Linked DNA regions of Struthio camelus. The protein of the gene in region 1 interacts with the protein of each later gene in a pairwise test. Links are inferred from orthologs where the notes say so. Each region holds a gene or a part of one and is shown in the gene's direction. Other genes may lie near its edges.

Region 1 (7,182 bases):
CATCTTCCTCTCTGTTTCAATCCTCAGAACATTGTTCGGGCAGTCTTGGCCAGAAAGGCAGCAAGAGGAGTGTGAAAGAGCTAGCAGTGCTCAGCAGTGCCTCTGCTGCTCCCAAACCCCAGGCCATGAAGTTCTTATGCTGATTACCTGCAAAGTCCAGGACCCCTCCCTGTGGCCTGGCCCTCCCAGGGGCCCAAACTCAGGTGCCAAAATTTGCCCTTCTCTGAGACCACCCCCATCACATCCCTCCAGCTCCTTCCTTGAGGTGAGGGGACTGATCTTCCCCTTTTCCTCTGCTTCATACAAGGGAAGGAGTGCAGAGCCTTCAACCCTGAGCTTGTTCCCAGCCTTCTGCTGCCCCATGTCCAACCTGATCCCCCCTAAAACTGGCCAAACACCTCCCAGTTCCCATCCCTGGGGTCCTGGCGTTGTCCTGGATTACACGTACCTTCCCTCTGCTCAGCTCTGTATGTTTTTGTAGCAGATGGATTATTGCTGTTCCCTCTCAGCCCCTCTGTAATCTGCGCCGGGGTGTCGAGTGCTAACAGATGGGTGATGCTAAGAAATAACATGCTTTTAATAAATCTTTTAGTTTAAAACCAGAGGGGTGCGGGGAGACGTGTGGATGTTGCTTCTGGCCTCCTTGCCTCCGCCTCACGCAGGAAGCAATGGTTGGGTATCAGCTCCCACCTAAGCGGGCCCTGGACAGGCCTTTGCTCCCCTGAGAGCTGCCGCAGGGGGGATCTCGGCCCTGCCCAGCCCATCGTGGCTTCCCATCTTCACGTTGGTGGCTCCCTTAAGTGGCTTTTGCCCCTCTGTTGTGCCTTGGAAGGGACAGGTGGTTTGCTCCATGTCCTGTGGAGTGGGTGAGGGGAGACATAGGCCGCTTGCCACTATGCTTGATGGCTGCGGAGAGCTGTTCTGCACCACTTTCCCCCTGCAAAAACCCCCTCCTGCCATTCCTGTCTACCCATCCCTACTCTTGCCCTAGGGGCTCCCTTATCTCTAGCTCTGGCCAGCTGCCAACCCCAGCATCTCTGCCTGGGCACTGCGGCTCTCCCCTCTGCACCGTGGTGATTCCCTGCCCTTCTGTGCTACATTGGGTACCGCACTGGGGCCTGAAGCCATCAAGGACCTGCCTTGGGCTGCTCCAGTGGCCTGTGAACGGGGCAGCCCACTGTTAGCTGCTTTCCTCTCCTTCCAGCCCTGGCAGAGGACGAAATGACGCTGGATCCTATTTTTCTAGCCAGAGCTTGGTCCCTGGGTGCCACGATGCATCTGGGTCCCTGTGACCCGCGTTGAAGGCGACTTCCTCCCACAAAGCCTCGGAGCCGGCCAAACTGCCGAACGGGTGCAGGGAAGAGGGATGCAAGGTCTGAGCCGGGCTGGGGCGCTCAGCGCACTCCCCCGTGCCCTGGCCCCTGCGCTCCTGCCGCAAGCTGGCCCCGGGTGTGCGGTGGAGCTGCTTGCAAGCTACTCCCCTGGGGCTTGGGGGTGACCGGCTCCTCCTGACCTACTTCGCTTGCCCAGCTCTGGCGCGGAGAGCTGCCTTGCAGCAGTGGGTGCTCGCCTTTGTATTCTTGGAGGCTGGAAGCTTATAATTAAAACTTCCAGCTTTCTCCTCTTCATTTGTCTCATTAAGAGGAGGCTGGGGGTGGGGGGAGAGCCCAGATCTGCCTCCCCACAGCCGCTGGGAGTGACAGCTTTTTGCAAAAGGCGTCAATGCTTTGATCCTGGCTGCGTAGGAGCCAGGAGAAAATAAGTATCAGGGGAGATTAGCGGAGACTTCCTCAGTGCCCCGAAGATCCGGCGCCCGCCTTGCCTCCCTGCACCAAGCAGCCCTCCCTCCATGCTGGTGCGGTGGCGGCGAGAGCGAGGGCTGCAGGTTCCCCAGGCCGCATGTCCCTTTGGCTTCAGGACAGGGTGCTCTCGTGCTGAAATTCGGCTCGAGGTACCTAGGGACCCTGCTGGGTGGTTTTACGTCCATTAGAGCGTGAGACCCCAAGCTAGCCTCACGGATGAGGAGCTTTGATGGGGAGTGAGTTGCTGTGATTTAATTCCTGCTTCTGGTTCCCGAGGGCTGCAGCCCCCCTGCACAAGGTCTGGTGGCAGGACCCAGGCGTCCTGGCGTGCCAGTATGGGTGCTGGCCCCCGGGAGCATCCTGCATCCAGCCCCGCTCCTGTCCCCGCTGCAGCCTCTGCTGGGAAGCCGGCCACCAATGCTGGCTTCCCGATCTCAGCGCCGTCCCCTGCTCTGCCCTGCCAGGACCATGGGCTGCCAGGCTGGAAGGATGAGATTGTCCTCTCCGGCCACAGCCATGGGACATAGTCCCCAGGGACACGGCCACAGGACATAGCCCAGGACATGGCGGCAGCAGGCAGCCTGGGGCAGCCAGCCCATCCCTGGTGGCCAGGCCACGGCCCACCAGCAGCTCTCGGCACCAGTGTGGACAGGGAGCCTTTCCCGGCCATCGGCTGCCACCTAGCTGCCAGCCAGCGAGGCCTGTCCCCGTCACTGCAGCGTCCCCACGAGTGCACAAGAGACCCTGCTGTCCCCCATCAATGTGCCTGGGGTCAGCCACCCTCGGTGGCTCTGTCCCAGCCACCTCTCAGGGCTCCTGCTGGCCGCTGCTCCCCCTAAGCCACCATGCGTGTCCCCAAAGCCTCCTCGCCCCTTGCTCTGCTCCCCAATCCCCACCAGCCTGGAGGGGCCAGATACCGCCCAGGATGTCCCCCACCATGCTGCGACTCGGAGGGGACGTGGCTCCCGGTGGCCATGTGCCCATCGCCCCCCAAATCCTGCCCAGCAACCGCAAGCTGGGGAAAACCCCGGGATCCGGCCTCATTGTGCTGCCCCGAGTTTACCGGTGGTGAGCAGCTCTGCGTCCCCGCGCCAGCCTGGCATAAAGGCACCCTCATTGCTATGCCGGAGTGGTCGGGTCCCCTCGGCGCCCCTGTTCCCGGGCGCCGCTCGCTGCCCCACAGTGCACAAAGCCCCTTTCACACAACTCTGGCGCTCTCCACGCTGGGAAAGCCTCTGGCCCTCGGCCACGTGCCTGGGGGCCGGGAGGCGAGCCAGGGCTGTGGGGGCCCCAGCCCCTCCTTACGTTCCCGCAATTGGAAAAGGGGACAAATAACCCCGACTTGGTGCACAGATGAGCACCCTGCGGGGATGGGGCCGCCCTGTCGCCGGCGGTGCTGACAGATCCCCATGGTACCCGGGGCTTTGCCCTGGCCGTGCACACGCGTGTGCCCGCTCAGAGCAGTGTGATGGCGGAGGTGCTGGCGTCTCGGCATACCCCCCGCCCCAGGATGGTGGGTTTAACGAAGGGCTCCCCCGTTAGCCATCCTCGGGGCCTCGGGGCAGCAGAAGCAGGGATCCCAGCGGGCTGCCTGCTCTCTTGAAATCTCAAATTCTGCCTTTTTTTTTTTTTTTTTTTTTGCTAGGATAGGACATGAAGCCCCAAAGTTTCCCGTGCTCCCCCATTGCTGCACCGAGCTGGGAATGGGACCCAGGAGTCCTGGCCAGGGCTATGAGTTTGCGCTGCTCTTGCAGACCCGCTGGGGTGGAACCAGCTTTGGAGGGTTCCAATAGACACTTAATTAAAAGTCTATCTTAATTAGCTTCTTCTCCGCATGGCCAAACTTCCTTCAAACCTGCCTGAATGGGGCTGGCAGCCACGTATGTGCACGTGTGTGTATGCAGGGACAGGCATGCATGTACATAGCTGTGCATGCACATATGTGCGCACATGTACATGGAGGGAGAGACATGCATGCGCACAGCTGTGCGTGCACACGTGTGTGGGGGCACAGGCATGCATGTGCACAGCTGTATGAGCACATATGGCCGGCAGTTTCGTGGCAACTTTCGACCCCTGGGCACGGCTACACCTGAGCCCCTTGCAGCGGCACCCAGCTGCAGCGTGCACGTGGGCTTGCGGGGCCGTGGCACTGCTCTGCCTGCAGCACCCCGGGGGCTCCATCTGCCTGGCTCCCGCGGGTACCCGCAGAGCCCCAGTGGGGCCGGTGGAGCTGCTGGGCCGTGCCGCGGCGCTTGGGCAGGGTGCCAGCCTGCGTCCCTCCCCGCCAGGCACCACAAAGGCCGGGATTTGTGCTCGCCTCAGTGCCTGCTGGCCCCCCCGCCAGCCCCTCTGCATAAAACCCCCTGGCCGGGCCCCGCGCAGCCACCCCGCGCCATGGAGAGCCAGCGGCTGTCCTCCTACGGGCGCCGCTTCGGCCCCGCAGGCACCGTCGCCGCCCCGGCACCCCGGGCTGTCCCTGTGCGCTGGGGGCCCCCCGTCAGCTCCCCAGCCCGGCTCGCCACTGCCCGGGCCAGGAGCGTCCACCTTGGCCTCCGCTCCGGCTCCCGCCTGGGGCCAAGCAAGATGGACTTCTCGTTGGCTGACGCACTCAACTCGGAGTTCAGGGAGACGCGCACCAATGAGAAGGTGGAGATGATGGAGCTCAATGACCGCTTCGCCAGCTACATTGAGAAGGTCCGGCTCCTGGAGCAGCAGAACAAGGTGCTGGTGGTGGAGCTCAATCAGGCGCGGGACCAGGAGCCTTCGCGGCTGGCCGATGTCTACCAGGAGGAGCTGCGCGACCTGCGGCGCCATGTGGAGCAGCTCGCCACCGCCAAGGCCCGCCTGGAGATCGAGCGGGACAACCTTGCTGAGGACCTCGGTGGCCTCCGGCAAAAGTAAGGTGTTGCCCTGCTCGGAGTAGCCCTGGGGGGCAGGGTGGCCCCAGGCACAGGGGGGATGATGGGAACCAGGGGGGTGATGGGGACAAAGGTGGTCATCAAGATGAGGGTGGTGAGGGGATCAGGGTGGCCTTGGGGATGAGGGTAACCACTAGAACCAGGATTGTGATGGAGACCAGGGTTGTCCCAGGGACCAGGGCTGCCCCTAGGACTGAGATCAAGGTGGCCACCAGGATGAGTGTGTCCCTGGGGACCAGGGTGGGGATGGGGACCAGGGTGACCCTAAGGACCTGTGTGATAATGGGGACCAGGATGGCCCCAGGGAGTAGGGTGGTCACTGGGATGGGGATCAGGGTGACCACGGGGACCAGGGTGGTGATGGGGACCAGGATGACCCTGGGGACCATGGTGGTGATGGGAACCAGGCTGCCCCTGAGGAAGACCATGGTGTCCACCAAGGGATGTGGGATGAGCTGGGATTTTACGGGGCTCCGGGCACACACATGGAGGGGACACAGGGTGCAGTACGCAAGCTGGAGTACCCAGACACCTGGGTCCCATTGTGGGACACAGCGCTAGCCCACTGCAATGGGGCCAACCTCCAAGTCTGACTATTTCTAACTGAGCTGCATCGTGGGTGCTCGGCCCTATGTGTACACACAGGTGTGTCTGCTGGGTGCGGGTGTGCGTGCGGCTGGAAGCAGCACTGGTTTGGGTGTGTGCTAGCAGCTGAGGCTGGGGCCATGCATGCATGACCATGTCCATGTGTGCACAGCCATGCCTGTATCTCTCCATGCGTGTTTGTGTCCATGTCCAGGCATGCATGTCCATCCATGCACAGCTGTGCCCATGCCCGTGCATGTGTGTCTGTGTCCATGCATGCATGTCCATGTCAGTGTCTGTGCATGCATGGCTGTGTCCATGTCTGTGCATGCATGTCTGTGCATCCACGGCTGTGTCCACGCATGCATGTCCGTGTCCATGCGTGTCTGTGCATGTGTGTCTGTGCACGCATGGCCGTGTCCATGTCCGTGCATGCGTGGCGGTGGCTATGGCCAGGCTTGGCTCCAGGAAATGCGAGGCAGCGGGGGGGAGCGGGGGGGGGGGTCTGAAACCTCCCTGAAAACCCAAGGGGAAGTTCTGCGGGACACATGCACCCTGCAGCAGCCTCTGGGGTCCCTGGGCAAGGCCATGCATGCCTGGGGACCCCCGTGTAAGGGCCATGTGTGACACGGTGAGCTGGGTCTGCGCAGGTGGTGCGGCACGGCCGAGGCCGGGCCCTCGTGCCCGCCGGTGTGAGCGGGAGGATGTGAGGCTGGTGCGTGTCCAGCCTGATGGGGGGTGGGGGGGGGGGGGACCCAGGGACATGCATGTGGCATGGGGGGCCATGGGGAACACGTGCCCGGGGAGGGGTGGCGGGGAGTGTGGGGCCGTGCACATGCACTGACACAGGTGCCGGGGCCAGCGTTGGCGGCGGGGCTGGCCGAGGGGCCAAGGTGCACGTGGCCACCATGACTGGTGAGTGACGGTGCCTAACGAGTAACAGTACATAACACGTAGCAATGTGTAGCCAGTAACAGTGCCTAATGAGCACCGGTGCAAAGTGAGTACCAGTGCCTAACGAGCAGCAGCACCTAATGAGCGATGGTGCCTAATGAGCGAGGCTGTGTGAGGAGTAACGGTGGGTCTCCCTGCGGGTGCAGGCTCCAGGACGAGGTGACCCTGCGGCTGGAGGCCGAGAGCACCCTGGCTGCCTACAGGCAGGTGAGGGCAGGGGCCGAATCCTGCCCCCCAGCCCCGGGGAGCGGGGCAGGGGCGAGGGGTGGGCTGGGACAGACTGCATGGGGCAGGGACCAGCTGGGACATTCAGGATGGGCAGGGGACAGGCAGAGATGGGCAGGGGACGGTCTGGGACGCGCAGAGACAAGCAGGACTGGGCTGGGGAGGGCAGGGGACAGGCAGGGCAAGAGGCAAGGGTGGACAGGGATGGCCTGGGACACTCAGGGACAGGCAGGGATGGTCTGGGGTGCTCAGGCATGGACTGGGAAGGGCAGGGATGGTCTGTGACACTTGGGGACAGGCAGGGACAGGCAAGGCTAGAGGCAGGGAGGGCAGGGACAGCCTGGGACACTCGGGGATGGGCCGGGACAGGCAGGGATGGTCCGTGACACTTGGGAACAGGCAGGACTGGGCAGGAGGGAGCCAGTAGGTGCTGGGCTGGGCTGGGGCAGGGCCATTGCTGGGACAGGCAGGATCAGGCCAGGATCCTCAGGGCCAGCTCAGCAGGGACAGGTGAGGCATCACACTGTCTCTCCTCTTCCTCCCTCCTGCGGCAGGACGTCGACGCTGCCGCATTGGCTCGCCTGGACCTGGAGCGCAGGGTCGGCTCCCTGCAGGAGGAGATCACCTTCCTGAGGAAGGTCCACGATGAGGTAGTGCCATGGCCAGGCAGCATGCGGGGCCAGGGGTGGAGCGGG
Region 2 (7,202 bases), on another chromosome or scaffold:
CTCAAAGGCAGCAGTACCAGAGAAAGACAAACCCCAAAAGTTATTTCCCAAGGTATCTTTGGGCTGCTGTCTTCATATGCATATACTTGTGGTGACTGAAGAAAAATTTCAAGCAAGGTTGGCAAATTGCCACAGTGGTGGGCAAATACCAAAAGAGAAGGTAGATTGTTTGTAACAGATAATTTAAGTCAAACTGAACTAAGAACGGTATAGTCGGAGGGACCCCTGACTAGGTAAACTATAGTTTTACCAAAGATACCCACACCAGATTAAGTGGTTCTCAGTAACTGATCTGTAACTGTGTAACACCCTATTCTGGTTTTACAACTAAGGTTCCAAAAAAGCACTTCAGAGGACTTATCAGATCTTTCTAGAGCCAAATCTGGACAGGTCTAGCTTTCAGTTTTGTAAGTGATATGGTAGTAAAGCCTGGTTCCCATCAAAACAGTGAAAGAAGGAGATATCCTCTTGGCGCTCTGAAACTGCTCTTTTCCTACTGTGGGACATAAGTGCCCCTGGACCAGGCAGGACAAAGCCATGCACCAGGCCCTCTGGACTTCCAATAGTCCTGGCTGTAATCTACCCTAGCTACTTGCCTTCACCTCAATCATGCATCAGGTCAGCCTTCTGGACGTGTTGGTCTACAAACGAGTTAAGATCAAGAGGCCCCCCACAATGAAGCCCAACCTATCACAAAGACTTTCGCCTCCTAACTGCAGTCCCAAATCTGAGGCTAATAACAGCCATGCATAAGACGCTCTTTTTTGTCTTATCCCCTCTAGAGTTTTAATAAAACATGGGTGCCTGCCTACTTATCACAGATTTCCCTGTAATACTAAATTATAAAGGAATGTGCATGCACACAGAGATGTAAGTGATTGCAGCAGTATATCCATATAACTAACATACTATCTTAAATCTGCCTGTGTTTAAAAAAAAAAAAATGTGTGCGCACAAAACTAATCTGCCAAAGGAGGGAAATTAAAAGTTTTAATCCATTCTGTATCAACACAAAACATTTAGGCTGAGTAAGCCTGAGAATCATTCAAAAGACAGCAACTGTGAAAAGCCAAGCTACTTCCTCTGAGGCCTAAGACGCAGGCTATGCTCCCTCAGTTTCATAAAATTCAGTCATGTGCTGTGCAGCCTCACAATGGGAATACTGCCTGTGTTTATCTGAGTGTCAGTTTTGCTTCCTATTACAAGTTTAAAAAATTTTTTCTTTTCTCTTGTCACAATCCTAGAAAGCCAAAGAAAAGCTGAACTGCAATTTGCAAGCCCTTCTGCTCCGGTTTCCAAGCTTATGCCAACATCTTTCTCAACCTCCCCCTGTACCTCAGTTCAAGGCTTAGTTTGTTGGGTTTCTTTTAGTAGAGTATCACTTTCATAAAACATTGGCTTGTACAAATGACAAATGGGTTATCATTTTTGCTTCCCTATATCTAGAATTAAAAAAACAAAAACCCAAGAGTTCTATACTGGCTTGAAACAGAAAGCTTTTTGCCATAGTGATCATTATTACTCTTAATCACCTTGTGAAGTTTTAGAATTTTGAAGGGAACTCAGAGGGCTTACAAATTTCATACCTCAAGATATATGTATTCTGTAACTACAGAGAGAACAGGTTCATGTACCAATTTGTCAAAAGCTGCAACTTAATTTTTCTTTCCTTTTTAAATCAAAATAATAAAAAAGTGTAATGTCAATCAAGTAGAAATAAAAGCAAACCTTGCAAAAATCAACATTCCACGTTTATCTAATTATTTATGGAACTCTGCAGTATTAAGGTGAATCAATAGACTATCACAGTCCAATGATCAAACTCCCAGACTAATATAACACATTATTACCACTCACAAAGTCAGCACTAGGAGGAATTTCCGTAAGGGTTGCCCTAGGAGAATTTAAGGCATTGACAATATCCTTCATCTTCAATTCCCTACCCAGTGATCTAGCTACAAAAGCACATGGATAATGAATAGCACCACTTACTTTGGAATATAAATGCCTACCTGATTTAAGCGTCCATTAGCTACCTCTTCCTTACACCTTGCTGTCACTAAACACACAGTTGGGAAGATTCTTATTCCATCATCCTCTTTAAAGGGACACACTGTTTCCATGGGCTTAAAAGAAGGTGTGACAGTTAAATCATATAAGGGCAGATTTAAATACCACCATTAACACCAGCGAATCTGACTTGATTAGTGACAAGTTGTGGTTTAACTTTAGGAAATCATTATAGGGCTCTGTTGGGAATCTCTCATATGCACATACAAATGAAAAGCAATAAATAATGGCATAGCTTCCAGAAAAAGCAAAACAAGAAGGGAGCAGAGTTTGAGTTAGTGCTTAACTTCTTGGGACCTTGCTATTTATCATATGGATTCAAATAATGTGGAGCTTACTGGCACACACACAACTTTCCTCTGGCCATAGGCCGGCTTCCCCAGTCACCTAAATCTTTAAATTCTCTCTACTGTGGATGGCCTGCCTGAGGAAGCAGATTCACGTAACTTCAGCTATGCCCATGGCTAACAGAATTTTGTTTCCTTTTCCACAGCTTTTACTTCTTCAGAAGGGGTGTCCTGCTGGCTCCGCTTCAGAACCGAATTCAGCATTTCTGGATAAGTTAAGCAGGCCCAGATGTCGCCATGTCACTTAGGACGATCTTCCACAAAAAGTGGGTATTTTAGAAAGTTTGAGTGTCGTCTTCCAGTTGAAATCAGGGACATAAGCTCTGCCATCATCAAAACTTGCTCTTACAACCAAGCCAATGTTATTTCCATGTTTGCATTTTAAGGAGATTTATTCTGCTCTTAGTACTTAGGCATAGGTTTCGGGTAGGGTCAGTCGCTTGTTTGGAGATTTTCACCAAAGAAATTGAAGAATTATAGAAGCTTATAATGAACTCTGCTGGCCTGTGTAGCTTATTAGAATTTATTTTTGTAGTAAATAATTTTCTCATATTAAAATTATCTTGGGTTCAACTAATATCTAGATTTATATTCCTCACAACGCTTATAGTAACTGTTTTCAAGGTTTACCCAGGAACAAGGCTGCATTCTGCATTTACGTAGCGCCTAGCATAGCGGCAATTGTTTCCTTCCTGTGGCAACAAACACAAGCCTTACAAAGCCACAGAGGTGACAATAACTAATGAAGAGCAGCCATTATCCACCCCCATACATTTCTATAAGCATCATATAAGCCACATCAGAGCAGCACACAATAATTCCCTCAATACAAAGGCAATTATAAAGCGACCAAGAAGATGGAAACGTCTACAGGCAGCCTGCATATAAATCACATCTTTGCCTTCAAGCCTACATTCAGACTTTCCATTACGATCACTGATCTCAGAGAGGTAAGTGAATGCTGTTCCAGTTCAAGTCCTTCCGGTAGCAAGACGAGATGCATCCAGTAGGAAATCTGAAGCAAAAGTTAGATCCCTGGCATATGAAAAAAAGTCACAATGGATCTCCTGGCTTCAGTGAAGCATTTATATTTGCTGAGGTTAATGCAAACTAACCTCCTCCCCCGCAACATCTGTTCACACCAAGCTTAGGTCAAAGAAATGTTATTATAGCATCTCTACTGACAAAGTGAAATAAAATACTCAATAATAAAGAGGTGATACAGAAACCAGGGAAATTTCCTGGATTGGTTACAGATTTTTTGAGGGGTGTAGGAAGGGAACTGGAAATGGGAAGGGAAAGAGATTCAGACCTGTTTGCTGTCTAAGTCTTAGGTCTGTATACTTCCTGTCTCATAGAGCTGTACTTTTGGAGGAGCAGTATGTGCTTTCTGTAGTGATTACATAAGCATCTGTTCCTCAAGCTCCTTAAAGGAAACAGTGGAGTAGATTTCTTTTTTTTAAATACAAATATTTCCAAAGCTTAGAAAAACTAACATACACTGCTGTCAAATTCAGAAATTCATCTCCAAAGGGCAAGAAACGCACTTGCAACTGAGATCTAAGTAACTTACTCTGTTCATTCATAGATCAGAAAAAGCAATTTTATAAGCTTACATATCCGAGGAAACGAAAAGCATCAGGTGCTGCATGGATTTGGAAAAGCTAGACTGGTAGATTAAGAAAGATATATATATATTATATATATATATATATATGTTACAAACGTCTCAGCATCTTGCATGTACAAAAACTTTTGATTGATACAGCAATTAAAATGCAGAACTGAAGAAATTTATGTCCTGAAAACACCCAATATAAGGAACTGCAAAGAAAAATCTTCCCACATTACCAGTGCCCGAGGGAAAAAGAGAATTCCAAAGGCATTGCCACTTGAGTAACTTTTAATCCAATCAAGTTCTGTTGCTGTTATCCGAATAGTTTTGCAGACAGGCAGATTTCTGTGCATGCTCACAGATATATACACACAGGTATACATCCATTTATTACGGACAAACACATTCCTCCATTGAGGAACCTACTCAACTCACAAAACTCCTAATTTATAAGGCCTTCAAATTTTTTCTTCAATACAAAATTCCAGTTTTTAAACATTGAGTTCAGCCTGACATGGCAGCAAAAGAAGCTGCACAAACATCACAATTAACTCTATTAAAAATTCAGCATTCAAAAGCTCAACTCATAATCAATACAAAATCCTTACTGAAGAACTAAAGAAGAAAGCACTCATTTGCAGTTTATGTTCTCAAGCGAAAAGGACATTAGGGAAGATAATTCACTATTTGAAATATAAAAAGCAAAGCCTGAGGGAAGGGAACTGCCACTGTAATCCCCTGCCGACAGGTCTACCAAGAAGAAAAGGGCTGGCTTCCCTTGACCATAAAAGTTCCACTGGATAGCAGAGTACTTTTATTTGCCATAAACACTGGCTGATTAGGAACAGAACATGATTTAGGAGGACAGAAGGCCCAAAAGCTAAAAGGAGGGATATTGTCTCCTTCTCCTCCCTAGACCAGCAACGCCAACTCTGTTTGCTTCTCCTTTATTTCCCTGACTTTTTACCGTATCAGGATCACGCGGTCACCAGAAAAAGAAAGATGTACATACCCAAGCGGTAATTAAAGGATGACTGATGAATATTCATTTAGTAGATCAAGTGAACTTTGCCTCATATTTAAGCAGGATCTCAGCGAACTAAGTATTTCTATCATCAAAGCACTTGCTGTTTTGCCTAATAGTTGCCAAAGTGGGAAAACATCACTGGCAGAATAAGGGGCAAAGTGAGAAGGCTGTACTGATTTTTAACAGGCTGGATACAGGAACAAATACCAGACACCTTCACAGTACTGTGCTGAGGGAGTCCTTAAAACAGTCCAAGGCTCTGATTCATCATTCTTGTCGCATTTAGCTGGGACAGCTGAAGAGGCCACTGCCCCCTCCGATGAGGACAGTAGCTTCTTCAGTCACCATACCTCTACCTGACAGAGGCTATGAACTAGAGCCTTCAGACATCACAGTTCACAGTCATGTATACTAATATAAATTGAAAGCAATAGTACCTCCTGTTAATACATTGGGTTGTGGTGGCTTAGACCAGGCATACCACCGTTCTGTCACTCTCAGGTACAGGGGTATAATTATCTGCAGGGAGCTGGGGAGAATTTTTCAAATTGTCCCAGCTGGAGTCAGCAGAGGACGTTAATAAGAGTCCTTGCTTTCCCAATAGGCTGCATCCGAAAATTAATTTTCATTAATTAGTTTGTGTCATATGACTCCAAGAAAAGGACAGCACTACAAAGAGACAAGTGAGCTGATGGTCAGTGAGTATGCAGCAACCAAGGCAGGCAAGCAAAAATTATTTAGAAATGCCTCCTTACATGGGTTTTAAAGGGCATCCAGACCCATGCTCCCCGGCAAGAGAGTTCAGCTGCGATTAGCATAGTCACTATTATAAAGATTAAAGAGGGAATATTTCTACAGCAAAGCATGCACATAAACCTTTTGTCAAAAAAAATAACGCTGACAGTGATGCGTATCATTTGAGTAGCCAGCTTATTTTCAAAACTGAACAGGTGAAATGTATTCATGCAAATTTAGGTTTAGACCCTTGTAAAGCTTTGTTAACAAAAAAGGTATCCTTTATTCAACAAAGCTTTAGAGCTTTAAGCTTGTATTATAAACTTCAAAGATCTACTTCACAAATCTGTCATTAATAGCCATGTTTTCTACTCCTCTCATCCAGTGAAATGACCACAAAACCCGTTTCTTCACTACTGCCAACAGAAAACACACACAGACACACACAAACGCAGGTTACCAAAGAAAGTAGAAGTGATCCAGAGACTAGATAATACTTTTTTTTTTTTTTTTTTTTTTTTTTTTTAAAACTCACACATGAATCTGTATAAACTCTTCAGAGGTCAATAACAGTTACATACGAGCCATTATCTTGGCACCAATGGGCATTAGAGATCCACATGCTCCACTCACGTCTGTGTCTAAAACAGGGCCAAAAAGCAAACCTGACATCTGGACAGCACTTCTTGTAAAGAGTGGGACCTTGACAAATAGCTTTTATTTTGAAGTTAAGACTTATCAAAACTTGTGAATTTACTAAAGCCAGGGATCCTGGCAAGCTCCAAGAACACAGGCTCCTTTTTCCATTCACTAATGTGCTGAGGAAACCATGCGACCACTTACAGCTACTAGAAAATGTTTCTGTCTGGTGTAAATCTAAAACAAATATCTGAAACAGATGGCTCCTTTGGTAACACAGATAAGTAGGATAACTTTTTCTGACTGAACATCAGAAAGCTCTAGCAAAAAGAACGATGGAAAGGATTTTGCAAATGTTAGCATATAGGAAAATGCAAGGGGAGGAACAAAGGTCCTTACATTACCACAACTGGCTATAAAACGGGGACATCCTTTGCGGAGAATGGGCCCCATAAATCTAGTCCCTGTGCTAACAGAACCACACCACCTAAGTCACTGTGGCCAGCTCCGGCAGTATCAAAGTCCTGAGAATTTGGACGTCTTCCTAGAGATCTGTAGGCCGTGAAATGTTAGAGGTCAGGGGGTTTTTTTGCTTACGTTCCTCATTTTTGTAATTGTATGAATGTTTGAGAGCACAGTCCAAAAGGCTCAAGAACCATAAGAGTTGATATTTTAAGTTGCCTTTATTCGATTCCATTCTTAAGTAAATTTCACTTTTACGGGGGAAGGACAGAAGAGGTCCCTCAAGGGCTCACCAGCTTTGGATGCA
Region 3 (7,060 bases), on another chromosome or scaffold:
TGTGATTTGCCCAGTCCATAAATTTGACAAAAACGAGAATATACATCTCGTGTCTTAGGGAGCTGAAGCACCATAGAACAAGAGGCATCATTCCTTAAAGAGAGCGAAACAGAAGGATGCATCAGTGAAATAGCCTCTACTTTCTGTCTTACTCTCTCAAATTCCAAGATTGGATCCATACACTTCCTCCTCACTGGTAACTGATGGAACAGATTGCACACAGTCACTGTAGTTCCTCCACTTGGTCTGCTCAGTTCAGCTTCACAGACTTCCAACGCTTGCCCATTGTGAAACAGTTTCACAAAAGTTTTTGCTGTCCTATTGGTCTTAGATGAAACTTCCACTATGCTGGCCATGTTTGCTATGCTTGCCACAGCCTCCCCTCTAAAGCCATAGAATTTCAGGTTCTCTAAGTCTTCCACTGAGCTGCATTTACTAGTGAAGTACCGTCTTCCCATTTTATTTAAGTCTTCTCTCCCCATCCCAGAACCATTGTCCACCACCTGGATCTTAAAAGCTTCCAAATCCACCCTGACAGCTATGCATGTTGCTTTGGCATCAATGCTATTGAGGACAAGCTCCTCAACACACTGCCCCAGTGAGCTGATAGTCACTCCAGAACGCAGCCTGGCTCGCACATCTTCTACCAGACGTTTGATCATGTCAAAACTGGGCAGATGACAAAGTCAAGAAACTGCAGCAAGCTCACTCATCCATATTTGTCAAAACAATTCCCTGGGTGAAAAAAAAAAAAAAAAAGAAAAGAAAGAAAGAAAGAAGGAAAGAAAAATTAAAATTATGGGCATGAAAGATCTCTTATTTATTGTACTCACCCTCATAAATACATTTTTGTTTGTTTTTCTGGTACTCAAAGGCTTTTCTATGACTACTTTCCTGCTCCAGGACTGACTACACATCAGCTGGTGCCTTCTGGGTAAAAGGCCAAAACCAGAATCTATGCTCCTTAGTAGCTACACACTTGTTTCCCGAATTTATCATCCCTAAAAGAAAATCCAACCACAATGAGGCCAAACTCAACTGACCTGCAAGCAAAAGGCTTCTGTTTCCCTCTGTATCAAAGATATGTACTGAGTATCACCAGGAATCAGGCTTGAAAGCTGCTTTCCTCTCATATTTACCTCAGATCTCCTCACATACATTCATGATGTCTCATTCTGGCCAGAGAGTATCTGCTGCTATTTGTCCAAGGGAAGAAAAGCTGGCTCAAGAACGGAGGTGGGATACTAAGCTGTTTATATAAACGAGATCCCAATAATTTCCCGGCTTTTCTTTGACGACTACTGGTTTCTTAGGGGTATGCAAGGGAATACACGATTTTTCCTTGCCCCCCACACGCAGGGCTCCCCTCGCAGTCTAGTAAGCGCTGCTCACCCTCGTTGGCGCTCTCCCCCTCCTGCAAAGCCCGAGGCGGGTTTCCAAGGGCAGAGGAGGGCAGCGGCGCCCCGTGCCCACACTCGTTAGCGCCGCGGCGCGCGGGTGCCGCGGGCGGGCACGACGGTCAGCCCGCTTTCCCCTCCCCGCCAGGGACTCTGCCCCCCGCGAGCCCAGAAGCGCGAAGCGAGGCCCTGGCAGGCAGGGGGCGAAGGGCGGTGACGGCCCACTGACAGACGGGCCCGGCAGCAGAGCAGGCCCCGCTCCCCCGGCGCCTCCCCGCACCGCGCCGCTCCCCCCCTCAGCGCCCGCCGGCCTGGAGGCTGCGCGGCCCCGCAACGGCCGCGGCGCGAGACCAACCGTCGCGGGCTCCGCGGCGCGCACGCGGCTCCTGCGGCAGGGCAGCGCCGCGCCGGCTGACGGCCCGCGCGGGCACACGCACCGCGCCTGCGCGCCAGAGGTCTTGGGAAGGGCGGAAACGGCACGAGGACTACGATGCCCATCACACCTTGCGCCTCGCGGGCGGTGCATGCTGGGAGCTGTAGTTTCCGGGGCCGTGCTGCCATATTGCCGGCTGTTTCTCACCCAGGCCGGAGCAGGGCGCTGGCCGGGTGGGTCACCCAGGGAGGGGGCCGTGTAACGTCACTCCGTGGGGACCAGCTTTTCCTCGCGGGTGGAGGCAGGCTGGAGCACCCTACCTGTGCGAGTGGGGGGTGGGCGGTGGTCACTGTGGTTGCAGTCCCCATCCTGCTCCACAGTTCACTGGGAATGGGGTGGGGAGGGAAGCAGCTGACTCTGGGCTAGCCTCCCGCACGCGCCACCAGTTTGGGAGGTCGCCAGGTCTCAGGTCAGAGATGGCTCACATAAGGAAGGGCTCAGGGACTGTGTATTCTGGTTGGCTCACTTCATTGAAAATAGCACAAGGGTTCATGTGTTAGCGTAACTGAGTGAGCAACTGAAACACAGCATGATTCCATACAGACAGGTATCAACAAAGGGAACACATCACCCCTAAAGATCCACCATCCATTCAGCCCCACTACGACACATCCATTCAACACAAAACGCAAGTTCCAAGCCCTTTTATTTGAAAGAAAAAATAAATAAATTTCTTACCAGGTAGAGAACAAAATTAACTGTTTCTGAGACATTCAGATCACAAAAAATGATGCAAAATATCCTTTTAGCAATATTTAATATTGGTATCACTTCTACAACTTCCCTGAAGTGAGCAGAACACTGCACAAATTATTTTACCCATGTACAACTACTCAAACTCATTGTGCACATACATTCAGAAGAGGTTGTGCTTCTAAACAGCCCCTTTAATAAATACAACTCTTCAGTCTGCCTGTCAAAATATCATGAATGGTCGAGAGTTAGATAAAATTAGACAAACAGTGTAACAAACCAATAAATTAGAAGAGTAATAAAATAAAATTCTCTGTGGTTGAATATTAGCTGATAACAAATGGAGAAGAAGAAACTATTCTGTGAGGGTGGCTCATGCTTCAAATCTTGGTGCTCTCTGGACAAAGCTACTTCAAAATCACAAAATCCTTGTGCTCCAGCGCATCAATCTTCTTCTCGTTGCGGAACTCCGCTCGGCTGATGCAGGACTGGGGGCTTCCTGTCTTTCTCAGCCATTCCTGGAGTTTCCGTACGTTGGCCGTTGGACCCTGAAGTTGTCCTTGCACAGTGCCATGGCTAGTATTTTTGACCCAACCAACCAGTCCTAGTCTCCGTCCCTCAGCCTGAGAAGAAAACGTAGAGCACGGTGAAGGTGAACTACACAATGCCGCTCACACACAGGAGTTAGTTTTATAGACAAGACACAGAGCTCCAGGGAAGCTCCCACGGGTCAGACAGAAGGAAAGCAGCAGAGGAGTCATCCGCTACTCATTATATTCCTTCACATGAAAAACAGGGGCTGAAACATACTTCAGTCATGCTTACATAACGCAGCGCAAAGTCACCCGCAGCACACAGTACTGAGAGCTGCAGTGAGGAGCACGAGCCAGGACTGCGGCAGCCACTCAGCCAAGCTCTTTTGGCTCAGCTCCCACCGAGTCGCTGATAGGCGACGCAAAGGCCTCACTAGAGCCCCGCGCGCCCCCGGGGACAGGGCGTCCTTCAAGAGGGGGACGCTCCGCCGGAGGGCCGGCCCGCCCCGAGGCGCACCTGGGTGTACTTGCGGAAGAAAACGCCCTGCACCTTGCCGAACACCTCGTAGTCCACGGACATCAAGCCCTCGCCCGCCGCCATGGCCGCCCCGCCGCCGCCTCCTGCCGCCGCCGCTACCGCCTCCTGCCGCCGCGGCGCCTGCGCGACGCTGCCCGCGGCCGGGGGCGGGGCCACCCTCGCGCCCGGCGGCCAATGGCGAGCGGGGCCGCGCGCGGGGGAGGGGTTGCCCTGCCCACCTCTAACCACCTTATGAATAATGCATGAGCGTGCTCCCCTCCCACCGGATCGCCTCCGCTCAACGGCCGCTGCCTGGGCATAGAGGGGGAGTCTTCCAGGGAGCAGAGTGGTCCCGCACCGCGGTACACAACTTCCGCCCGCTGCGCCGAGTGGAAGAGAAGCCTCTCGGGAGAACCATAGAGAGACCGCTACCCGGTGAGAGCGGCACAGGAAATAGCATTAGCGTGCCTGTCTCTAGGCAACAGTGGTCAACACAACGTCCGACGCCCGGGGCGGCGGTAAGAGGGGGGGGGGCTCGAGGCGCCCGGCCCAGCCGTCCCTCCGTGACCGGGCAGCCCCCGGCACGGTGTGCGCCTCGGCTGCGGCAGTGCGGGCGCAGGAACGAGGTCAGCGGCGGGGCCGCGTCCCGGAGGCACCCAGCCCGGCGGAGGGCAGCGGGCAGAGCTCGGCCCTGCCCCGGTGGGAGGGGGCAAGGGCCGCTGATGGCGGGGGGGAAAGGAGCTGCTGCTCTGCGCGGGGGCCACCCGGTTTTGCCAGCCCCCGGGTGCTGGTCTTAAAAGCGAGCCAAAAGAGCTCGGTCGGCTGTGGATTTGTCCGAGCCGCCGTGCCGTGAACTCCGCCACGCGGGTGGGGCGGGCCGGCGGCTTCGGCTGCAGCCGTTAGTTAAAGCGGCGCGTCCCCGCCCGCCGCGGGGCCGCGGCCGCGAGCGAGCCGGGCCCCGCCCCGCCCGCTGCGGCCGCGCGCCATTGGCTCGGCCGCGGCTGCCGTCACAATGCTGCCGCGCCTATCAGCTGCTCGTGGGAGCGCGGCGTGCGGGCAGTGGCCGGCGCCCTTCTGGCCGCCTGCAGTAAAGGGGCACGGCGCTCCTCGTCCCCTGTACAGTATTTGCTGAGATTGCAGGCGTCTATGTGTGTGGGGGGGGGAGAGAGGGGGTTTAAGCTGTATTTATAGTTATGGCGGCTTTGCGCGGGTATCTGAAACTTACTCTTCAGGAAATACCAGGTAATAGAATGAGCCGCAGAAGAATTGGACTGAGCTTTACAGGATGTCTGTATTCCAGGCCTGTGTACCACACTGACAGAGATGCAGTGGCAAAACTGAAGGGACATGTGGGAAATGCCCTGAGAGATATAACAGTTTCCCTGACATTATAGCATATTTCTGTTGCTACAATGATGAGACAGCGCACAGACAGAGACAGAAATAAAGGCAGACCTTATCTCTAGCTGCATAGGACTGGAAGAGGCAGCATAGGAGCCCCTTAGGTGGAAGGAAGGTAAAGAGTTATGGAACCCAGAAAAGTTACAAAAACTTTGCTAGTATTTATTATAGCCTCCAGCTGTAGATTGTTGGGAGGGAATTTTTCCAGTTTTAGATAAGATAGTGTGTAATGATTGCGCTTCTAACCTCGGGCTGTTTCTCAGGCGCTGGATGGCTGAGCTGCAGTTGGCTTTGTTTCCACCTGTGGATTCTGTGGTGGCAGCTCCCAAGTTTCCAGTGACAGGAAGATACGATTCTGAAGTCCCAGTCCGCCAATCCCAGCTGGAACACTCGAAGAGCACCTTTCATCACAAACTCCTACGTGACAAAGAGGAAAGTTTAAAGGATCTCTACACTGAAAAAAGCCGAAGCTATTCGGCTTCGAAGTATTCTCTTTCAGCAGAAAGCAGTCAACACAGCTCCAGACAGGAAGGCTTCTGTTTAGCTGGACTCCAGAGCAAATATCTCACCAGCCAGGCCAAGACTCTGCCATCTAAATCAATAGCCAGACGGAGAGAAGGGGTGGACCGTTCATATCCCCTGAAACCAATCTTTCACCGCAAGGCTGGAAGTGTTCCAGTGGTTAACAGAGGGCAACTCAGAAGTCCCCCATACATGGAGGAATCTCTAAGTAGTCGGCCTAGTTCAAAGAGCAAAGGGAAGCCTGCAGTAGGGAGATCTCAGCTAGCTGCAGTGCTGTCTCCTTGGACAGCAGAACCAAAACAGTCAGCCTCACCCCTATACAGGAGAGAGCTGGCCTACATCCTAAGGCTGGAGGCAGATGGACGGAATCTGGAAGAGGAAATCCGAAAGAAAGAGGCCCTCCTCAGAGAGAAGCTGAGGAGAACAAAGGAGGAGCTTAGGAGGATTCAAAGAGAGAAGGAGCTAGTGGAGGCAGAGGAGAGAAGAGCCAGAGAAGCAGAGAGGACCACTGAGCGAAAGGCCACAAGGCACTCTGAAGAGAACGTTTACAGAGTGGCAGTCAGGCCTGGTGATGGGGACTTTGAGAGGGCGCAGTCTCCAGAGGTCACTAGGTCCAAGCCAGGCACCAGCCTCCATCCCCAAGAGCTAGCTATGGGGAAACTCAAGAAGGAACGTTTGGTGGCCAGCAATAGCAAAATACGAGACCGCTTATCTGGAGAGGATTTAGCCTCTTGCTCAGAGCCAGTCTCAAAACAGAGCCCTTCTCCCTCTGCCTTCTCAGACCAAGAATCTGGTGACCACTTAGCCACAGAGATGTTGTACATACAGGCTGCCAGTGCTGGGGAACTAGGACAGTGCAGCTTCTGCGGACGTAAGTTTCTCTGCACCAGGCTCGAGAAGCACGCAAATATCTGCAGCAAGAGCCAAGGCTCTAAGAGGAAGGTGTTTGACTCGAGCAAGGCTAGAGCCAGGGGCACAGAGCTGGAACAGTATCGGCAGTGGAAGAGCTCAGAGAGCCCTCAGGTAATGTGCAGCCCTTTTTCCACCCTCAATCTGCGTGTACTGCTCATGTTTCTCCCACCTGGAGATAGAATTCTGACTGAGATGTGAGGTCCTTCCCATGTAGACAGGGCTGGGGGATACAATCCAGCCATCCCCTCTGAGAGGCACCTGCCAAGCAGGTAAATGGAAGGAGCTGCAGCTCCTGCCCCAGCTGCAGGGAGGGGGGATCTTATTGGACTTGTCTTTGCAATGTGTAAGGGTGTACTCCCAGAGAAAACTCACTCGTCGCTGGAGTCAAGATGCTCCTGTCAGAGGGCAGGGTGGCTGTGCTGCAATGAAACAGAGACCGGTGGCATTAGCAGGGTGCAGGGAACCGGTTGAAAATCCAGGTAATATAACAGACTATTAAAGTGAAGGCAGTGAAAAAATGCAGCCTTGTTCCTACAGAGCATCTTCCTCAAGTTCCCTGGCCCTTGTTCTTCTGGGTATTCCCAAGCTTTTCCTAAGGATTGATGGAAATATCAATAAATCCTTCAAATCCTCCTTAGTGCTGGTCTGCTCC
Region 4 (7,660 bases), on another chromosome or scaffold:
ATCTTCTTCCGCTTGCTGCATTTTTTTCTTTTTTCTCTCATACTCTTCAGCATGTTCCCATGAATTACTGATTTGTTCAAAAAGTTGAGTTCTTTCCTTTGGTTTCTTCATTGCAATTGACTCTACTGTTCCCTAAAACAAAATTGCCAAAATGCAACACGGCAGATTGTCACGTTGTATAATGATGAAATTCTTCTCAAGTGCATACAATGCATAGTTATTTCCTGATATTTTTTTAGTTAACAGAACTGACAGTTAATAGGTACAAGCCCAAGGAAAATTTCAGTAATGAAAGGAATACCAACTATCCACTACATGTAATTAATGATCCAACATCACCTTATAAAATAATTTTAAATCATTTTAAAACTTCAGATACTGACTATAAAAAACATCTTCAAAATCAGAATTCTATCTGAACAGATCAGTGAGCAGCATCAGAATGACAAAATTAAATCTCATTAGCCTCTTTAAAGGAACTAAAACTCATTTTCAATGCAAATAAAATTAACAAAAATCAGTATTTCAAGAGCGCATCTGCTGAAATCAATGGACTAGAAGATTCCATAACACAAAAGTTAATGGGAGTACAATTTCTGTCCATGCATTACCTGCTCAAACCTTGACCGACCTGAAGGAATTATCATTTTCAATAGCCTGCAGGAAATAAGTTTTGTGATCTTACTCTGTTCTTCTAGTGGCCAATGCCTTCATCATTAAAAAGTATTATCCCAACAAGAATCTATACATAGGGTTACTATAAAAGGAATGAAGTAGTTTTTCTTCGGGAATTTTAAGCTCACTGTTCTGTAAAGATAAAGAAGGTGATACTGTGAAGTATCTTCATCGTAAGCAATTGGCATTTTGGACCTGTATCTTTAAATACTTCTGAAGTAATAACCTAATAGGAATTTCAATTGCTAACTCTTGCTCTTTAACGATTTTTTGGATACATTTTTATGCCTCTTTCCTAATATGGGTGTTTTGAGATGAAATTACAATCTTTTCCCACTTTTAACAACCAGAGAAATTAAAACACTAAGCATTTAAAAATAAAGAAGCACATCATCTTATAAACTAAAGAACAGAAACAATTTCTTCTGGATTAGCTTCTTTCTTACCAATGCACTCATGCTCACACAAAAAACCTTTTAATTTCCATTTCACAATCTGCAGCTCTTAGCCAAGGTCAGGATAAAACTTTGCCTGTTAGCTTGAAACTAGCTAAGGGCATTCCCTTGTCAGTCAAGTAGATAACTGTCCATTCCTATGAAATAATCTCAGAAGCTTTTAATGTTCTTTACCAAGTACCTTAAATGCTCACCTGAAAAATAAGACAATTCCTGGCTTTGACAAGTATGCCTATTTTTTCAAGCTCGGATATGTAAACAGATCGGCTGACAGGTTTATCATTAAAAATATATTCTGAACAACTACCTAAAGAAGACAAAAAGTAATTACTATAAAATGGAAAAATCATACTAAGTAGCTGATCAATGTTACTTAAAAAAAAAAAAAGCGTTTTTCAAATGACTATATAAATGACTTTTAAATACACTTCTTAGCTTATGGTATCGCAGCACACGTGTAATTCAGAACATGCACATAACATGATACCTCTGGTCTGACACAAGGACATGAGAGGAAGCAGGTCTGACCCTGCAGCCCGTGGGAAGGTGTTAGAGGGCGTGTAAGTAATGCACGGCTGTAACACAAAATCCATGGGAAAGCAGTCACTAGTTCTGCTCTCAACTAAGCAACTCCCTCAAGAAAAAAAAAAAAAAAACAATGAAAACCCTTGCTCATTTCAGCAGCTTCATCTTTCTGTATTAAAATTCTAGCTGCATATTTCCAAAAGATATCAGCAGCTGCTTAAGTGCCTGTGCCTGAAGCAAAAGTTTCAGAATGGAATACCCCAGTCTCCAGAGCCTACGCTATCCACACATTCCAACAGCGAAAAATCTATAGATGATCAAAGTACAGAGCAAAAACATATATTAATCATTTGGTTAACTTTTAACTTTGCCCATAGTATGCTTTATTTTTGAATTATAACACTGCTTAAAGACTTTAAAAAGTGTTTCAAGATTCAACAGGCTTAACCTACCTAATACCAAAAAATACTATGCATTTGAACTGAAAGCTAAAGATTCTCAGTCTCCATTTTTGTACATCAGACCACAGAAAACATGTGCGACAGAATCTACTACCTACCACGGATAACTCTTGAAAATGTTTTTTCTTCCCCATTTTCTTCACAATACACTATTTTTACACTTGCTGTAGAAGAGACCGGTTTTCCAACATGTGCTCCATGAATAAGTTCTCGAACATTTTTAACTCGCAAGTTAGATATCTTTTCACACAGCACAAAACTAACAGCATCCATTATGTTAGATTTGCCTAAAAAAAAGTTTTGTCATGGCAGAAAGGAAATGAGGAATTTGATTAACAATTAAGAGAACATACATGTAACTGGGAGTCTTTAACATTCCATTTATACATTATATATTCCCTTCAGGAAAAAATATTTCACACCGTAAAGAAATCTATTTCTAAGATATAATGTAAAACAGATAACCAGCCTGTTTGTAATAGAAACGATCACAAAACTGATTTGTTATTAAATCCCAGACTCAGTATGGTAGATCAGATTTCATATAGGCACGTCTAGAGGTTATTAAATAAACTGAACTGACAGCATCATAATCCTCACTTGATAGTTTCCTTTGTATAATGTAGTGAGTGAGGTCTGTTGCATAAACATCGCAACCTTAGAACTGTTCCACAAGAACTCGGGTTCTTATGAACACAAGTACCTTCCCAGATCCATACACCACAGCACTAAAGTTTTCTAATAATGCTATTTTATAAAAGTTCTCTTTATTGAACCCTTTTTCCTTTTTCCCCTTTTGATCTTTGGCATTTCTGATGACAGCTTAATTATTTTGTCTTCAACTTTCGTACTTTTGCAGTATTTTGTCTCATTCTGCAAAGAATCAGAAAAGGAAGACTACTCGGGGGGGAAATTAATTCAGAGATTACAGAATATTCACACTTTTTTTTTTTTTGATTCATCTATATAATTTATTCAGATTTAACTGGAGAAGTACCTGGAAAAATAACCACAATTCTGAGACTTCCCAATATGGGGCAGTTAGGATGGAACAGGATGATACACAATATGACAATAATGCTAACTGACTGTAGCTAGCTATTTCCATTCATGTATCTCATTAGATTAGAAAAGTGAAGAAACAGGATCTAAATCATTAACAGATTGTGTAACTAAGCCCAAACACTAAGCTCATCCTTGAGGCTCTTCCTTGGGACAGCCCCTAACTCCCATCCCATTGTTCTTTGGCAACTAAAAGAAAAATCACATTTGTTGAACGAAGCCTTCATTAGAAGTGAATCAGTTTTTAATCAAAGTTCCAGCACCCAGAGCATGACAATGCTGAGTTACATCAACAAGAGAAGGCTCTTTGGCCTAAACTACAATATCCAAAGTAGCTAGCATTCCAAAGCTGCTTCATCTCCCCCCCCCCCCCCCCCCACAGGCATTTACGTTTAAGGCAAGGACTACACATTCACTCAAGAAGCAGCTTTCCACTACTACAGTTTACAACCCAGCATATTAAAGTGAAACCATCTTTATGTAACTTTAACAAGCTGAGCTACAAACTGGGGTGGCCAAAAAGTGGTGGGCTGTTTTCAAACTGCTCATTCTACAGGGCTAGGAAAATAAAGGGTAAAACCGGGAACGGAAATTTCTTCAGCCACACCACTTCAGCCTTCTGTGCTGGAAGATCAATACCGTCAGTTAAAGAAGCAATGTAGATCAGGAACATGCAAAACTTTGTTTGTGCTACCATCCCCTCAGGTGCCTGTGAACTGATTTCAACAAGGCCTATGAGAGTCTTCAGTCCCCCTCAGTCAAGCTTTGCAACTCTACTCAGCAGACAAGCTGTCTCCATCCATTCAGTACAGCCATGATAGCCTTCTCCTTCACCTGAGTGGCTGCGCCTGGGCAGCTACTGCTTCCTCCTTGTTAGGCCAGTGGTTTTCACAGAAAGGACCTGGTAGGCCCCAAAACTGAGATACAGGCTGGCAGGGCACCAGAAACTTCAATCCCAGCAGCTACAGAAGAGAAGCAGAGCCCGCAGCTGCTCGCTGTTCCCTCCCACCTATATCCTTAGCCTGCTACCTGATCCGTTGGGCCCAATGATGCAGTTGAACCTCATGAAGGGACCGATAACCTGCAGCCCCCGCCACGACTTGAAATCCTTCATCTCCAGCAGTTTCAGGTAACCCATTCCTGCGGCAGTGGGTGAGGGGCAGCCGAGACCGTTAGCCTTTGAACTTCCCGCCTTGCACGAAGTTTAAACACCCAGCGAGTATTTTTTTTTACTGATTTGCCCTGCGGAACAGGGGGGGAAGAGAAGAGCCTCGCGGAGCGCGGGAGGGGAACTGGGGCGAGCGCAGCCGTATGCCCGCCCCACCGCTGCCCGCCGCCGCCGCCGCCTCTCCCTTCCAGGAGCGACGCGAGAGCCCGCCAACGGCGCGTCGTCAACGGCCGCCCGCCTCGTGCCTGCAGCCACGCGGCCTCGCGCGATTGGCCGGTGGAAGCGCGCGCGCGGAGCAAGAGGGCGGGGGCTGCCGTTCCCATAGCGACCCGTGTGTTGTGGTTCCCGTGGGCGGCCGTTGGTGCTCGTGCTTTGCCCAGGCCGTTGCCCGTGCGGCCCGTCTCGGCGCCATGCACAAGCTGGGGCTACAGCGAGACCTGCAGGAGGCGGCCGCCCTGGAGCGGCGGCGGCAGCGGGAGCTGCAGCGGCAGAGCCGCATCTTCAACGCCCGCGACCGGACTATTGGGGTGAGGGCGCCGAGGGAGCCGCCGTCCGGGCTGTGGCGGAGCGAGGAGGCGAGAGCGGTGGTGCCGCCGCCCTGCTCCGACGTGCCCTGAGGAGACCGATCCAAAGCGGGGGCCGCCCTGAGCAGCGCCCCGGGACCGAGGCGGCCGGGCCCGGCTCCTGGGGGAGGATGGGCACGGCAGGCGCCCCCCTCAGCGCCACCTCGGTGACTGCTGTGGCAGGCGGGGGCCAGGCTGGGGTGGGAGACGGGCAGGCACCCCCCCCCCCCTTGCTTGAGGGGAGTGGTGCCTTTTTAAAAGGTCGCTGGTGAAAGCGTGTCTATATTGTCTAGGCATCATCAAGAGGTTTTTTTTTTTTTTTTGGCGGTTATCGCGTGTAAGGGGGACTTGGTCTGGCTCACTGCTGTGGGGCTCAAGGGCATGGTTTGATTTCTCCTTAAAAGGAGAAAAAAATCAAGCCCTCTGTTTCAGCCTATGTGTAGGAGTGAACTTTGTGGAGCATGTTTTACTTCGGGGTAAGCCAGAAGCCTGCAGAGTCAGCAAACACAATGAGGAATAAAACAATAAATGATTTTTATCACTCTGCTGTACTGATACATCTCTCAACTGTTTGATCCTCACTAGAAAATAGGATCACTGCTGTGAGACACCTGTTCCTGGAAGGGATCCTGCAACTGCTCCCTATTTTGTATCAGGCAAAATCTGACAGATTTGTTCAGGCTGCTTTTATGAATATAAAACTACTGGTTATGATTTTGCCCAGAATGGATGTCAGAGTGTGAATGCCATTCAGCCTGCAAGGATCTAGTCAAGTAGGACTAATTTTAGAATTTGTGAAAATAAGTCCAGTCTGTTCACTTCCTTGGGCTGGTAGGATAGCAACGTGTCAGTTTGATCCATCTGGTAGTAGGTGTTGCAACATGTCTCAGTATGTCAGTGGAAGGATATCTTTACCTCATTTGCAGCAGAGCCTTGGATTTATTCCTGTGACTTCTGCAAGTCGTCTTAGTTGCATAGCAAAGTAGCAGTTCCTGCTTCATGAGCTGGACAGATTATCTACCTGATAACAGAATCCTGACATGTGTGATAGCCAACAGTACACTTAAGTGGAAGGAGTTAACATCTTTTAATGGATGTGGGATGGGTATAGTAAGGTTCAACTTTATCCTCAGGAAACACACAGTTTCTCTGTAGGATATATTTCCTAGAGCCTTAAAAATTAAATGTAAAATATAAATTCTCTACTTTATTGAGCATTACTGATTTAGACCATCTGAAAATCATTCCCAAACACTTATGTAGAAGTAGCTTATCAGACAGGTTTTGATGAATCTATTCCCATTGAGACAAATATCTTAAAAAGTGTCCATTAGAGGAATTTTATAAATATTTTGATTAAAATCATTAAATATACGGTATTCTGCGGCTGTATCGTGACTACTAACAGAAGGGGCTATCTTGTGCTTGGAAATTAAGTCAAGTCCAAAGCATGGAGAGTCAACAAATCAATACAAAGATATACTATATCTGTATTTCAGATGTGCTTTTAGAGTCTGCCTTCTCTTCTGTTTTTGTTGGGAGGGGGGAGGGAGGTTGCTTTTGGTTTTAGTTTTTTGTTTCCAGTTTAGCTGAGTGCCTGTCACTGACACAATTCAAAAATCATGCATTAGAAATGCACCACAGATTCTTCAGGGGAAGCTACTGTTTATAAACTACTTCAGGGAGTAGTTTATAAACATGGAGATCGTATACTGCCTGGAAAGCAGATTGGGAACTGAGAGGCTTTATTCTTTTCTTGACTATTAGTAGTTACCTTGACTACTGTATCTGTTTTCTCATCTGAGAAATGGAAAAATAATCTAGAGAAACTTAGAAAGTAGTCTAAGATATAGCTCCTTTCATTTACAGATTTAAGAATTTATTCTCACTGAAATCAGTAATTTCCCAAAAGAGTTCAAATGAATAGTCCAAATGAAAAATGACTCTCCATTTATATATGAATTATTATACATAAAGACAAGCAGATTAGTAGTTAGTCAGCTGCTTTAAATGTTCATCGTAAGGAATTCCTTACTTTAGTGCCATTAGCATCTCTCATTGAGTCTTAACATTGCTAATGTTTCAGCTATCCTTAGGCAAGGTATGGTCAAATGCTCAAGTTAAATATGTAACTGTGTGTGGCTAGGAATGGTCCTTCTATGGATGCATTCCCATCTATTGAAAGCTAGGACAGAGAGAACAGGAAAGAGCTGATAGTGTAACTCTGAATTTGTACATGCTAGTCAGTGTATTTACTTGCCTGTATTATTCCCAGAATCTACTAATGGAGACACAAAAACATTCTCTTAATACTATTTCCCATAATTCTGTTGAGAGCTTAGTTTCTCAAATGAGGCCTCTGAATGAGTTCACGTTTGATGTCTTCTGTAGCATTGGTTTTAGACTTATTGCAGTACAAAGGTATAGTGTAGGCTTCTTCATGGTTTTACCCTTGCCTACACTTTATAGATCTACCTCTTGACCTGATTGGTATAGTCAGTAGTCCATTACAGCATTAACAGTGTGATCTGTTTAGGTCATTCTCCCTTGATCTGAATAGGGAATAACCATTTTAGCACTATCAAAATATTTTATCGAGTTGTTGAAGAATTGTCACTTTTTTGTAAATTTTTTTGTAATTATTTTAAAGAGATTAGGTGACTTGACCAGCAAAAAAAAAAAAATTAGAAATAAAATCTTGATTTCTGCATGTTCGTTTGCTGCCTTCTGTTAACAAACACAGGGCTTAAG

Evidence for each region.
Region 2: the proteins of GFAP (region 1) and PDZK1 interact in binary tests that used the Homo sapiens proteins (3 or more experiments, as listed by UniProt). The link is inferred for Struthio camelus from reciprocal best matches to the Homo sapiens genes GFAP and PDZK1.
Region 3: the proteins of GFAP (region 1) and ZC2HC1C interact in binary tests that used the Homo sapiens proteins (3 or more experiments, as listed by UniProt). The link is inferred for Struthio camelus from reciprocal best matches to the Homo sapiens genes GFAP and ZC2HC1C.
Region 4: the proteins of GFAP (region 1) and RIBC2 interact in a two-hybrid assay, tested with the Homo sapiens proteins (2 studies listed by BioGRID and IntAct). The two-hybrid records come from large-scale screens. The link is inferred for Struthio camelus from reciprocal best matches to the Homo sapiens genes GFAP and RIBC2.

The regions. Positions count from the first base shown.
Region 1 is NC_090966.1:709,036-716,217, forward strand, and holds the start of GFAP (glial fibrillary acidic protein), read left to right. Parts: upstream 1-4,180; 5' UTR 4,181-4,199; coding exon 4,200-4,702; intron 4,703-6,408; coding exon 6,409-6,469; intron 6,470-7,041; coding exon 7,042-7,137; intron 7,138-7,182.
Region 2 is NC_090942.1:106,741,956-106,749,157, reverse strand, and holds the start of PDZK1 (Na(+)/H(+) exchange regulatory cofactor NHE-RF3), read left to right. Parts: upstream 1-4,195; 5' UTR 4,196-7,202. UniProt on the Homo sapiens protein: A scaffold protein that connects plasma membrane proteins and regulatory components, regulating their surface expression in epithelial cells apical domains.
Region 3 is NC_090946.1:57,870,194-57,877,253, forward strand, and holds the start of ZC2HC1C (zinc finger C2HC domain-containing protein 1C), read left to right. Parts: upstream 1-4,045; 5' UTR 4,046-4,091; intron 4,092-5,237; 5' UTR 5,238-5,244; coding exon 5,245-6,519; intron 6,520-7,060. Other genes in the region: DNA mismatch repair protein Mlh3, read right to left, coding at 1-662; ACYP1 (acylphosphatase-1), read right to left, coding at 2,931-3,146, 3,574-3,657.
Region 4 is NC_090942.1:79,775,224-79,782,883, forward strand, and holds the start of RIBC2 (RIB43A-like with coiled-coils protein 2), read left to right. Parts: upstream 1-4,654; 5' UTR 4,655-4,756; coding exon 4,757-4,873; intron 4,874-7,660. Other genes in the region: SMC1B (structural maintenance of chromosomes protein 1B), read right to left, coding at 1-132, 1,325-1,433, 2,211-2,403, 4,208-4,316. UniProt on the Homo sapiens protein: Microtubule inner protein (MIP) part of the dynein-decorated doublet microtubules (DMTs) in cilia axoneme, which is required for motile cilia beating.